Caenorhabditis elegans: one gene and its partners. The protein of the gene in region 1 purifies or fractionates together with the protein of each later gene. This does not show direct contact. Each region holds a gene or a part of one and is shown in the gene's direction. Other genes may lie near its edges. The genes, in order: apd-3, apm-3 and Y50D4B.6.

Region 1 (4,731 bases):
TGTGTGCGCAAAGATATGAATCGTAAAACAAAAGTTGCGGAAATTTCTGAAAAATTTAAAAAAACATCGGGAAAAAATTTCCGAAAAATTTTTTTGAAAGATAACTCCTAATGGTTTTTTGATTATGATAAACTAATTGATAGTCAAAATATTAAATGTGTTTCTAGACGCCCATGTTGTTTTCGAGAAGAATAAAATGGCTTTTTGCAATATTTTTCATATTTTTCTGATCATGCATTTTTTGCTGTTTTACGATTCATATCTTTGCGCACATATGAGATATAACAAAACGGTCAACTGAATACCTGTTAATAATAAAAAAGCACTTATTTTTTGATTTAAAGATTTTTGATCAGACACCTGGTTTTGGAGTTACTGGCAAAAACATGAAAAATTAGGATTTTTTGAAAATTGGACCAAGCGCACTTCTATCGACTGTAACTCAGAAACGTGAGGAGATCCAACGTTGCACCAAACTGATAAATTGTAGCTTATAATATGTACATTAATGTTGTAATACATTACTTTTGTATATCTCTCATGGTTTCAAAGTTAGCACCGCTCAAAAATAAAAAAGACAATTTTGCAAGCGTTTTAGGCACTTCCAACAGATGTAGCGCTACCAATAAGCTATGCCTGAGTCTGAAAATTTTCAGTTTTATTTAACTAACTGTCTAATACATCTACGCATACAAAGTTTTTGATTTCATGAGGAAATAAAAAAAATCGAAAAAAAAAATTTTGTTTCGTTGTCATAGTTCGGAGTTTTAAACAACCTGGAAGTTGACCGAAATGGCTGATATCGTTGGGCTTGTCATTACTAACAGTCCTCTATACAACCGCAAAAAAATATCCAAGAAAAAATCAAAACTGGAAAAAAACGACAAAACTTATTGAACGACCTAATAGTTTGTGCTCGCCGCTGACTAAAATTGATAAGATAATTTTAGTTCTTATCTGTCTGTCTCCCGCTCGTACTGTTCCTCCAGTTGTTATTAGTCTTCTATGATTCTGCTAGATAATAATAAATGTTTTGTCTGAAATTGTCTGAAAATTCCATGCGATCACATTTCGAAGAGGCGGCGGCGACGGTTCGAAAAAATTCAAAAAGTCTGAGAAATCGACGAGCCGATCAGGGGTTTCTCCTAGCGCAGACGTCATTTCAGTTGTGAGTTTTTGAAAAAAAAGATTGAACAGATGAAAACGCGCTCTATTGCGAATTATCGGTGAATCTCATTAGAGCGCGCTTTCTAGAAGGTTTTAAGATGAACATTTCGAAAAAAAACGTTCCAATTTCCTTTTTTAGGTCAAACTTCTGGCCTAGAATTCCCTCTAGTCCCTCCAACACTTGTCGTTGTCCTTAATAATTCTTCAGTGCCTTTGGTCGATATATCCGTCTCCGCAAGCTGTGCTGCTGCACCCCTCTGTGCCGCTACTTTCCTGTCTGCGTCTCGACCCCTGCCCGCTCTATTTCCCTCATTTTCTCTCCGCACGTTCTATGTTTGATTCTATCTTTGGGGCGAGGAGGGAAGAAGATGCGTCGTCTTTTTCGTCCTCTTTTAGGAGCCCTTCTGTGTTTGGAACTGACGCAGAAGCTGAAGAGATGGAGGACGACGTCCCCATTTAATCCTTCACTCATTTTATCGCCTTTTCCCCACAAAAACCCGCGCTTTTCGGACATTTTTTTGGAATTTTTCGGGTTTTTTTTTGAGGCATGTTGCACCATGTTAGTTCCTGCGAATTTAAGGTTTTTATTTTATTGTGAAATTTTTTTAAAGATTTTTTTAAATTTTGAAAAACATTAATTTGTCTGTTTTAAAGCAAATTTAGAATTTAATTTACCTATTTTTTTCGGATTTTCTTCTATTTCTGGCCATCTAAACCGAAATTAGAATGGATTTTACAGAAATGCTACCCAAAATTAATTCATTTAAACATTTCCGGTTTTCTTGTGGCTTTTCGTGATTAATTTATTCATTTTTACCAAGAAAAAACAATAAAAATCGATAAAAACTTCAATAAATCGATTTATTCGAGTACTGTTTTAAAGGCGCATGACATCAAGATTTTGTTGGGTTTTGACACGAGTTTTTGTTTTGTGCGAGTTCAGGTTGACTCTTTTGTATTTTTCAATTAAAGAAATTGTGAAATAGGTTGATGAAATTTTAAAAACACTTTTTATTGTTTTCGTGGAGAAAAAATCAGATTTCGTGCTTAAATTCTGAAAAATTATGGTAAAAACCGTATGCCTTCTTTAAAGGTACATGGAGGAAGTTTTAGTTTGGGTCTCGAGGCGATAGTTTTGAAGATTATTTTATTTTATTTTTTGACGGTTTTAAAGCAATTTTTCTCTATTTAACCAAGATTTTTTGTTGTTTTTGTCACAAAAATCACAACATTAAATTTTTTAAAAATATTTTTCACAAAAATCACCTCACCGAACCCTTCTGCGTGTCATTTTTCACTCCCAAAACGAAAAAAACTTTAAAAAAAGCAAAATTTTTTCAGATTCGAAGAAATGGCGTTACGCAAGGTGCGTAGCAACATTGACCGGATCTTTGACAAGTCTCTGACCGACTTGATCCGCGGAATTCGCAATAATAAGGATAATGAGGTGGGATTTATTGGTTTTCCGGGAAAAAATCTAATTTTTTGATATTTTCAGTCCCGATACATCACTCAATGTATGGAAGAGATCAAGCAGGAGCTCCGACAAGACTCGATTTATGTGAAGGCGAACGCAATTGAAAAGTTGGCCTATGTGAGTTCCGGCGTGCCGAAAAACTTGAAAATTAGCCTCTATTCAGTGGAAAAACGCTCTAAAAATGAAGAAAAACACGAAAAATTGAATTTTTCACTTAAAAATCTGTAAAAACCATGACTTTTTATGTTTTCAGCTCCAAATGCTCGGTTATGACATCTCATGGGCTTCGTTCAACGTGATAGAAGTGATGGCTTCTACAAAATACACGGAAAAGCGAATAGGGTTGGTTTTTATTCGATTTTTGCTGAATTTTGACCTAAAAACTCCGGTTAAAACGTATTTTTCGATGATTTTAAGCCGAAAATTCAGTAAAAAATCAATAATTTTTCAGATATCTCGCCGCTGCACAAAGCTTCCACGATGAGACTGATGTCCTTATGTTGACGACGAATTTGATAAGAAAAGATGTGAATAGGTAAGGTTCTTGGGCGAAAAAGTGTGAAAAACTGGAAAAAATACAAATTTTCGCCAATTTTGAGCTAAAAAATGCGATTTTTGATGTTGGAAATGTTGAAAAAATGCAAATTTGGATTTTGGCAAGAAATTTCTGGAAATTTACAAATAAAAAATGAAATTTCATTTTTTTAAATTAGAATCTTTTTAAAATTTTATTTTTCTAATAAAAAAAACCGAAAAATATCATTTTTTCTGAAAAAAAAATTGAAAAATTATTTTTTTCTCAAAAAATTCAATTTTTTATCTAAAAAAACGATAAAAAACCATAATCAGAAAAAAAGGCAAAAATCCAGATTTTTCTTTTAAAAAATGGATAAAAAACACAATTTTTTCTCTAAAAAATCAAAAAAATTCAGATTTTTGCTTTAAAAAATACAATTTTTTATCTAAAAAATTGATAAAAAATGCATATTTTTTCTGAAAAAAAGGCAAAAATCTAGATTTTTCTGAAAAAAATTGATAAAAAATCCATTATTTTCTCTAAAAAAATCGAAAAAGTTCAGATTTTTTCCCAAAAAAAGGGGAAAAGAAAAAATATAGATTTTTATTTAAAAATTGATAAAAAATCCAATTTTTTCTAAAAAAAAACGGAAAAAATTCGGTTGTTTCTCAAAAAAAAGGAAAAATATAGATTTTATTTCCAAAATAAAATGAAAAAAAAACTGGAAAAAATAATATTTTTTCAAAAAAAATTTTTTTGCCAAAAAATCAATTTTTTCCTCAAAATATCGAAAAAGTTCCAATTTTTTTCAAAAAAAAAATCACGAAAAATTCAATTTTTCAGCTCAAATATGTACGAAAGCGGTATCGCATTGGGTGGTCTCAGCTGCTTCGTAACTCCAGATTTGGCTCGAGATCTCGCAGCGGACGTTGTAAATTTGCTCTCTTGCTCGCGGAATTATACGAGAAAACGGGCGGTTCTGCTGCTTTATAAGATATTTTTAAAGTATCCAGACGCTCTACGACCAACATTTCCCCGATTGAAAGAAAAATTGGAAGATCCGGATCCGGGAGTTCAGAGCTCGGCGGTTAATGTGATTTGTGAGCTGGCGAGGAAAAATCCGAAGAATTATTTGACACTGGCACCGGTTTTCTTTAAATTAATGACTACTTCTTCGAATAATTGGATGCTTATTAAAATTATTAAATTGGTACGGACATTTCGAGGCAGAAATTGGAAAAAATCGGTTGAAAATTGATTTTTTTTCCGAAAAAATCGTTTTTTTTCGGTTACTTATGCGAAAAAATTGAATTTTTTTCGATTATTTTAAGCGAAAAAATTGGATTTTTTTCGAAAAAAATGATAATAAAATTTCGATTTTCTTTAGAGAAAAAATTGAATTTTTTCGGATTTTTTTTCGATTTTTTTTTCAGAATTTTTTTGGAGAAAAATTGAATTTTTTCGGATTTTTTTTCGATTTTTTTTTCAGAATTTTTTTGGAGAAAAATTGAATTTTTTCGATTTTTTTCTAAAAAAAAGTGAAATTTTCAGATTTTTTTTTTGAGAAAAA
Region 2 (4,731 bases), on another chromosome or scaffold:
TCATTTTTCTACGCCTCATTTTTTGTACAAAACAATTCATACATAAGTGTCCATCTCTATTTTAATATTCAATTCCTCATTCCACAATCTATTTTTGTCCTCTAATCCAATATTTATTTCAGCGAAGGATTTCCAGTCGGACCAGGCGGCACTCTTTCAAAGGTCTTCGCAGTGTGTCCTCTATTGAGCAACAACAAGGACAAGCGAGGGCTCGCATTGGATGGACAACTCAAGCATGAGGACACTAATTTAGCTTCAAGCACAATGTGAGTATAAAGTCGATAGGAAAGGGAAAGAGAGGGCGCGCAAACATATATATATATCGGGATGCCGAGAGAAGAAAATGGGGGGAAAGGGAAAAGAGAGGGTAAACTTCCGCCATTTCCTTACTCAGAAGGTTCAATTTCCCCCCGTCTCCTTCTACAAACGAATTTCGCCAGTTCTCCATCTACTTAGATACACTTTTTATGTTAAGCAAAAGAGTTCAGGAGAGTGGGGAACGAATTGAGATGTTTAATTGGATAACGTTTTGGAAAGAGGAATGTATGTTTGGAATGCATATCTGCTCACTAATGGAGAACCGGGGGGTTTTTATGAACAAAAAAATTGTCGATTATTTTCAATGGAAATTTCAAAGGATATTCAGAAACAGTTGGATAGGATGTGAGACATTTATTTATCTTTTTTTAATATTTAATTAGCACACTAAAGAACCACTAAGAAATGCTATATGTACATTGAAACGATACTGCATAGTTCAACGAACTATTTACAAGTTGGCTGCCGAGACCAGGCTACCGGCAAATGGGCAATTTATAAGTTACAGAACAAATATATCGTCAATGTTAAGTTTAAGAAAACCAAAAAATCCTTCCAATTTAAAGGATTGATTTGAAAAAGGAAACTAGAAATTTTCTACAATATGTATCAAGCTTGCTTACCATTCGACAATTCAAATTATGATAAATTTTGTTGGTATTCACTAGCCAGGCGATATGCGTGTATATACAAAAAATTTTAGTTCAAAAATGTGTTATAGCATGATTCTTAGTTAACAATTGTACGTCAAAATCCAAGACAACAATGATATGAGTTTGAGCAAAAATATTTTGGCAATCAAATAATTAATTTTTTGCAGATTGGACTCTAAAACATCAAAGGAAAGTCTTGGAATTGTAGTTCAATACAGAGTGAAAGTTCGCGCAGTTCTTGGACCACTAAACGGAGAACTGTTCGCCGAGCTGCCGTTCACATTAACACACTCGAAGCCTCCAGAGAGCCCCGAGAGAACGGTAGGTTTTAATTTTCAAAATAATTTTTTTACGAATCAAATTTTGAATCCATATTATTCAATTTCAGGATCGTGGCCTTCCATCAATCGAAGCAACAAATGGCTCCGAACCAGTCGATATTGATCTCATCCAACTACACGAAGAATTGTAAGTTTTTGATTAGAGTTGAATGATTCAATTTAATACACAATGATTTTTCAGAGAGCCCCGCTACGACGACGATCTAATCTTTGAGGATTTTGCCAGAATGCGTCTCCACGGAAACGATAGTGAAGACCAGCCATCGCCAAGCGCCAACTTGCCGCCAAGCCTTCTATGAATCTGTACAATTTATCACATGATATTGTGTCACTCTGTCATTCAACTTTTCTACGTCTTTTCCACCTTTTCCCCATTTTTCATTGTTTCTTTGTAAGTACATCTTTTTGTCTATGCTTCAAGTCAATTTTTCTGTCAAATTGTCACCTTTTTCGTTTTCTTTCATTTCATTTTTTCTCATATAAATCTATTTTGCCAATTTATTTTTAAAAATCAGATTCAAAGGTTTCAAATAATATTTCAATTGTTGTTGTTAATTATTGGAATGCTATCAGAAACCTTCTATGTAATTTTCAGATTGTGGGTCTGAATTCAACGATAATCTAGAAAAAAAAACTAAAACATCTATAAAAATACAAAAAATCATTTAATTGACTAAATAATATGTGTATGAAATCAATTTACAACTTGAAAAAACTTATGAGAAAATTTGAAAGCAAGTAAGTTGAAGATTTGTTTTTAATTGGCCAGTGCATTCAGAACTTTGATCAGTGCATTCCGAACTTTCGTCAGTTCATTCAGAAGTTTGGTCAGTGCATTCAGAAGTTTGGTCAGTGCATTCAGAAGTTTGGCCCTGGGAATTTTCAAATTCGATTAGTCCATTTTCAAATTCGGTCAGTGCATTTTTCAAATTCGATATGTGCGTTTTCAAATTAGGTCAGTGCATTGTCAAATTCGGTCAGTGCATTGTCAAATTCGGTCAGTGCATCATGTTTCCAAGTGAAACAAAGAAAATCGATGATGCCCAACGCCGGACATACAACGCGATTAGATATAGTAGTGGACCTCTCCTCTTCACGCATTTGACCCGTCCTCATTCTCGTCCTGTTCTCTTTTCTTTATTTCCCTTGCCGAACGACACTCCGAAATAACTCCCTGCGCGTTGTTTATTAGCTGTTATCTACTGGAGGAGAAGGTTCATCTCGTCAAAACAAACTACTTATTTATTGGATTTTAGTTATGCTGAACAGTCTATTTTTTGTAAATAGTAGTGGGTGAGTGATTTTTGATTTGAAATTATAAAATTTTTTTGTATTACTTTTCAAAATTTCAGTGATGTATTACTTGAAAAGCATTGGAAATCTGTTATTCATCGATCAATTTGCGATTATTTCTTTGATATTCAGAAAAAGGTTAGCTTCTAAATTTTGTTAAATTAAACTGGTCTGACCAAATTCCATACATTTTCAGAGCATTCACCCCGAAGATGTGCCTCCAATAATTTCAACTCCACATCATTATTTGATAAACGTATATCAGAACAACTTATTTCTAGTCGCAGTTATCACAGTTGAAAGTGAGTATTTTTTCGGAAAAAAAAATCAAAAACCTGACCACACGATCCTACTTAATTTTTTTCCAGCACCTCCCCTCATGGTCATCGAATTTTTACACAGAGTAATTCAAACCTTCACACAATACTTTGATGAATTTTCGGATTCTTCTATGAAAGAAAATTGCGTGATGGTTTTTGAGGTGAGCTTTATAACTTCAAAATTGAGGCTTAACATTCCGATTTCCAGTTGCTCGATGAAATGCTGGACAACGGCTTTCCACTGGTGACGGAAATGAACATCCTTCAAGATTTGATCAAGCCGCCCAACTTTCTGCGCAATATTGCTAATCAGGTCACCGGCCGTACAAACCTTTCTGAAACCCTGCCAACGGGGCAGCTATCAAATATTCCATGGAGGCGACAAGGAGTGAAGTACACAAATAATGAAGCGTATTTTGATGTGATTGAGGAAATTGACGTGATTGTTGATAAGCAAGGATCCACTGTTTTTGCCGAGATTCAGGGATATGTGAGTTTTGAGTATTTGAAACAAAAAATCAAATTATGCCTTCATATTGAACATACTATTTTGTCCTGTTTATTAAAACATTTTTGTAGAACCAGAGGTTTGCGGACCTTTGTAGTAGTATTATATGCCAAAATCTTTTAAACTTCAAAACTTAAAACGTATTTTGCGGAAATAAAGCGATTATGGCTACTGATAATCTCTATCAATTTGTAATTGTAGTGAATATCGGATTGCAAAATTGTTTAGTTCTGTGCACCTCTAAAGATTTAAATACAAAATTATAAATAAACCAAATGAAAATATTTTAATAATATAATACTTCACACCACCAAATTTGGGTGCTGACGTTTTGAACTAGCATGTGTTCTGGAGGTAAAAATTCTGAAAAATATTTGGAAATATTAAGAATATATTCATCTTATCCTTGACAAATTTCAGGTTGACGTTTGCTGTAAACTGTCCGGAATGCCTGATCTCACAATGACCCTTATCAACCCAAGACTTCTAGATGATGTATCCTTCCATCCATGTGTCAGATACAAGCGCTGGGAGGTAAACCGCTCATAACATTTATATCTTAATCACAATTTTTTCAGAACGAGAAGGTTCTTTCATTTGTTCCTCCAGATGGCAACTTTCGTCTGTTGTCCTATCATATTGCTGCACAAAAGTAATGATTTTCATTCTACAGATAAAATTTCTATAACTTAATTAATTTCAGTATGGTTGCCATTCCAATCTACGTTAGACAAGTGATCTCCTTGAAACCAAATGCTGGAAAACTTGACCTCACAGTTGGACCAAAGCTAAGCATGGGTAAAGTGGTGAGTTTTCGAAGATCTAAATCACAATCCCTCTAACAAAAACGATGTTAAGCTGGAAGACGTTGTTCTTGAAATCACAATGCCAAAATGTGTACAAAACTGCAATTTGGTGGCGAGTCACGGAAGAATCGCGTTCGACCCGACGACTAAACTATTGCAATGGACCATTGGAAAAATTGAAGTCGGAAAACCATCAACACTCAAAGGATCAGTTGCTGTGAGCGGAACTACTGTTGCAGAGAATCCACCAATTTCACTGAAATTCAAAATTAACCAGTTGGTTCTGTCCGGATTAAAGGTTAGCTTTATCAGCTTGAAGTGAATACCCCTATACTTGCAAAGTAAAAACATGCAAGTTTATAAAAAAACAAATCAAGTAATCAAATTTTTAATATGACTAGGAAAACTCTTGGTAGTGGTCCTAAAAATCGTCAGATATCAATTTGAATGACCAGGAATTATACGGAAAAATCATCCAGGAAATGTAAATTC
Region 3 (4,731 bases), on another chromosome or scaffold:
AAACCCACTGTTCCAATAATTGTTTTATCGATTTTTTCAAAATAAACGACACCCAATGTCCTATTTTCTACTCGTTTTACATTACCAACGAAATACGGTTCAAGTGATGATCCATTTTGTCGTTTGTGTGAATAAGTGTTGCTGATAATGTCATATGTAAATTTCACGTAGTTATCTTCCAAATCCGGATGTAATGGAATAATTTCGCTTGGAGAATAGAAGTATATAGATAAAAAATACTGATCTGACACTGGAAATCATATAGTTGTTTTAATTGCAAGACAACAATGAAAACAAGTCCAATGGAAACTATTGCCATAATTATATTTTTAAGAGTTTGCTCTTTTCGCCGCTCACAGCTTGAATAAATTAGGTGCAGTTCGTTTAAAATTACAAATAAAACTTAACCACCCCAGTAGACTTCAATTGAAAAACTCTCCACTTTGTTTCCATTCTTCAGGTCTGCTTTGAAAACTTTTATATCTTTGTCCAGATTTATCTGAAATAGTAAATGTTACCTTACCTTATTTAGCATATATATAACTCACATGTATAAATAATTTATCACTTGTAGGCTTCTCAATGGTCAGACTCTGATTTATTGGAATCTTAGGGCATATCTGAGTATTGAGGTTAAAAAACACTGTATTGTTTTTCTTACATTCAACAAATATGGACAGGCTTTGATTATTCCATTACCATCAGCAATCTCTTGTATTCCTTCCATTTTAATTACTATTTTTTCAATTGATTTTCCCTCAGATTTCAAGTCGAACTTCCATTCAAGCTAGAAATACCGATGATAAAAATATTTTGTTAAATAAACTAAAAACCCACAGCTCCAGAAGTCCTTTTATCAATATTTTGAAATAAACGGCACCCAACGTCCTATTTTCTACTCGTTGTACATTAAAAACGGAATACGGTTCAAATGATGATCCACCATGTCGTTTGTATGAATAAGTGTTGCTGATAATGTCATATGTAAATTTCGCGTAGTTCTCTCCCCAATCCGGATTTAATGGAATAATGTCGCCTCTAGATCTGATTGGTGTATACGAAATATTCTCATGTGACACTGGAAAACATATGGACTGTTTTGCTGCAAGACAGTTAGGAACTGTTTGAGGGATTAATTATAGTACTTGGGAACGACCGTTGTCTCCAGCAAGAAGACGATGTTAATATTGTAGGGCCAAACTCGGGCAAGAAGCTAGCCCGAGATGCCGATTATTTGACCACCACAAGAATTTTACTTTCACACTTCAAAGAGATTAAATCTAGTACAAGTACACATACTGCCTTTTATGTAGCCAGAATATAGTAACCAGTTAGTCATATAACATTCACAATTAATTCCTTAAAAAACCCATGGAACACCAAAATGGAACTACCTAGTTTTTTGGTATTAGGAAGAAATATTAGGAAGGACAGTAGACATTAGGAAGAGATTTAACATGAGAAAAACAGCTAACTATAAACATTCCAAATTAATATTAAAAAGAAAACTCACCAGGAGTTTCCGGTGTCGGTTTATTAATTGATGATGATTGCGTAAAATCTTCCAAATGAGAAGACCCAATATTACTGATGATATCAAATGCATTTTTTATGAAACATGTAAAACATTTATTATTTTCAACAAAACTCCCCACGTTCTACTACTTACTAGGCTCGCTACCATTACTAGTCAGAACTGTCAAGCCATAAGCAATTGGTGCTGATATGATCAAAATTCCAATGTATATTAAAATTATTTTAAGTTTGGTTTTGCACTGGGAATCGTTTGATCGTGATCTTGAACTTGATCTTAATGTAAGTGACATTTGAAGAATTGAAAAACGGTTGAAAGATCTTTCCTGCTTGAGCTACGTGATAGCAGTCTATCATTTTGTCCAATCGAAGGGCTACGTGGTGGCATCGTTTTATAGCTTTGAAAAAAAAAACGTAATTAAATAACAATATTATAGAAAGAACCTGTTACATAATATTTTGTGAAATGTGGGGAAATCTTCAGTCACTGACGAAAAATAATAAAATTAAGAGAGTTTTTTTTTGGCAAGGAAGTGATAATTGATTAACAACAAATGACAGCTGAGGAATTATTTTATAGCAACACTTGAGAGTGTGTTTTACTTATTTCAAAATTGTTTGAACCTTTGTTATCAATACATTCAATGATTGAATCAACCAAGATTGCAATAAATTTGACCTTGATACATTATTGCTGATATTTCACTTCATTCATACTATTCGTAACTCATGATTGATCGCAATATTCTGGTTATTTTCTATTGCATAGTGGTCATTGCACTTTCAGTTTTATTTTACTATGTTTGGAAATTCTATTATTTGAGAAAAGAGGAACATGAGGAAACAAGGTAATTTTTTGAAGAAATTCAGTTTTGTCTGGAAATTCACGTTTTCTGAGAAAAAAAAATTCTAGAGAAATTAATATTAAAAACAAAAAATTATGCCGTTAAACTCAAATTTTCTGAAAAATAAACCTTTTGAATACATTTAAAATTTCCCAGAAAGCCGATGAAGAGTACTCATGTGGTGTCAAAATGTCTCATTTCGGTTTGATCTACAAAAAATGCAGGAGACGAGACTTTTTAACTAATTTCACATGGTGAAGAGCGTGCTGACGTCACGCTTTATTGGGGAAAAATTCCCGCATTTTTTGTAGATCAAACCGAAATGAGACACTTTGAGACCATGTGAGTACTGAAACTTCTAAAAGTTTCTAAATCAAACAAAACTCGAAAAACATTGGAAATGTTTGGAAAACTTTTAGAAATTTCTAGAACCTTCTGAATAATCCCACTATATAGTAAAAATCCAGAAGTTTTTAAAAAGTTGCGAAAACTGTGGAATATTGTTTAAAACTACTTCAAAAATTTTGAAGGTCCACAAAACTCCTGGAAAACCAGTCTTTTCTATTAAAAAATCTAGTTGTAAATTATTTTTTCATGATTTCCTATTCAGAAGTCTAGAATCTGGAATTATCCACTCATCAAGCCAGAAAACACCTTCTAGCGTCCGAGAAAATGAAAGTCTCCTCCAAGCCAATGAAGAAAATGTTCCAATTGGATTGGAGACCGAACCCATTAATGCCATAATCAAAAACCTAAAATTTGACGAGCGATTTGAAATTGATGTCAATAAGTTTTCCTTCTACAACTTAAGCTTCTTAGGGAATGGATATTATGGGAAAGTGTTCAAAGAGCGAATGCACAAGAAACAGAAAAATGGTCTAGACTCTGAGAATTCTTTGGAAGTTGCCGTTAAACGTGAGTTGAACAGTGTAACTATTTATTAATACCTTAACATATTAGGTGCATTAAGACCTGAAGATCCATCGGAACAACAGTTGATGTGTGAAGAACTTAACGTGATGTGTGTTGTTGGAAAACATCCAAACATCCTTGCACTAATTAGATGGATCCGAACCAATGAGTAAGTTTTATTGAGCAAAAAACTTACATCCACAATATTCCAGAATTCTTATTGTTTCCGAGTTCGTAGAGAAAGGGGATCTTGTAGAGTATTTGAGAGCTCGGAGAAGATATTTCAATAAGGATATTGTTTGTGTCGAAGATAATGGTCGTTTGCTGTGCCCGACGGACTTGTTATCATTTGCTTTTCAGATTGCTAATGGAATGAAGTTTTTAGGCAATGTCGCGGTGAGGATATTCAGTTTACAAACATTAAATTTGTTATATACATAATTCCAGAACTTTCGCATAGCTACCGATTTTTTAAAAGATATTTTCCAGAAATGTCCACATTTTTTAGGAGAATTCTAGGACAATTCAGAGTTTTTTAAAACGAAATTTCGAAATTTCGATTTTCCCGCAAAAATGTTGCTCAGAAAACTTTAAACTCCCGCCAAAATTTAGGACACTATCAACATTCAAATAGAATTTTTAAAAAAATCCAAGATAAAAATCAACAGAATTTTCTAGTGTGTTCATCGCGATCTGGCACTACGAAATGTGTTTGTCAAAAGAAATCGAATTATTCGAATTGCTGATTTTGGATTGGCTAGATGGCATGAAAACAAAGAATATTATAGGTTAGTTTGTTGAAGTGTACAACATTTCAAAATTTTTTTCAGAAAGAAGACCGACGTAGGTTTTCCAATGAAGTGGTTGGCACCGGAGTGTTTCGAGTTTGAACAAGAACGCGAGAATATAAAGTTTGATTCGAAATCTGACATTTGGTCATATGGAGTTTGTCTTTATGAAATATTTTCATTGGGAGTGTCACCTTATGAGGGTCTCGATTTTCGGCCAGATTATTTCCAGGGTTTGATGAAGTACGTGAGAGATGGGAATCAACTTCCAAGTCCGGAGCATGGGAGTGATAAAATGTGAGTTTTTCGAGTACTGTAGAGTAATCGTATGGTATTCTTGAGAACAGGCAAAACATTTATTTTTAATCTGTTTACTTGAAACCAAGGGTGTCATTTTTCGATTTATTGATTTTTCAGTGAAAATCGAAAAATCGAAAAATTGAAAATCGAAAAACGAAATTTTTTGATTTTTCGATTCTTTGGAAAATCGAAAAATCGATTAAAAATGTTCAGAAAATTAACCATAAAATATGATTTTTTGTCTAATTTTGTTTATATTGATAAGAAAAAATAAAAAATTTCTTCTAAAAAGAACAATAATGACCAAAATATTAAGCTAATTTTTGTAAAATCCGAATATTTTTTTCGAAAAA

The links.
Region 2: the proteins of apd-3 (region 1) and apm-3 fractionate together in Caenorhabditis elegans (co-fractionation; one large-scale study listed by BioGRID). This does not show direct contact.
Region 3: the proteins of apd-3 (region 1) and Y50D4B.6 fractionate together in Caenorhabditis elegans (co-fractionation; one large-scale study listed by BioGRID). This does not show direct contact.

The regions. Positions count from the first base shown.
Region 1 is NC_003280.10:3,544,209-3,548,939, reverse strand, and holds the start of apd-3 (AP-3 complex subunit delta), read left to right. Parts: upstream 1-2,508; 5' UTR 2,509-2,518; coding exon 2,519-2,614; intron 2,615-2,665; coding exon 2,666-2,761; intron 2,762-2,897; coding exon 2,898-2,986; intron 2,987-3,095; coding exon 3,096-3,179; intron 3,180-4,004; coding exon 4,005-4,371; intron 4,372-4,731.
Region 2 is NC_003284.9:952,427-957,157, forward strand, and holds the start of apm-3 (MHD domain-containing protein), read left to right. Parts: upstream 1-2,548; 5' UTR 2,549-2,570; coding exon 2,571-2,605; intron 2,606-2,664; coding exon 2,665-2,743; intron 2,744-2,801; coding exon 2,802-2,907; intron 2,908-2,973; coding exon 2,974-3,086; intron 3,087-3,133; coding exon 3,134-3,415; intron 3,416-3,853; coding exon 3,854-3,967; intron 3,968-4,011; coding exon 4,012-4,085; intron 4,086-4,136; coding exon 4,137-4,239; intron 4,240-4,291; coding exon 4,292-4,537; intron 4,538-4,731. Other genes in the region: Beta-arrestin arr-1, read left to right, coding at 123-266, 1,139-1,292, 1,360-1,439, 1,494-1,611.
Region 3 is NC_003283.11:1,082,122-1,086,852, forward strand, and holds the start of Y50D4B.6 (receptor protein-tyrosine kinase), read left to right. Parts: upstream 1-2,194; 5' UTR 2,195-2,262; coding exon 2,263-2,381; intron 2,382-2,988; coding exon 2,989-3,293; intron 3,294-3,338; coding exon 3,339-3,459; intron 3,460-3,502; coding exon 3,503-3,686; intron 3,687-3,968; coding exon 3,969-4,078; intron 4,079-4,120; coding exon 4,121-4,375; intron 4,376-4,731.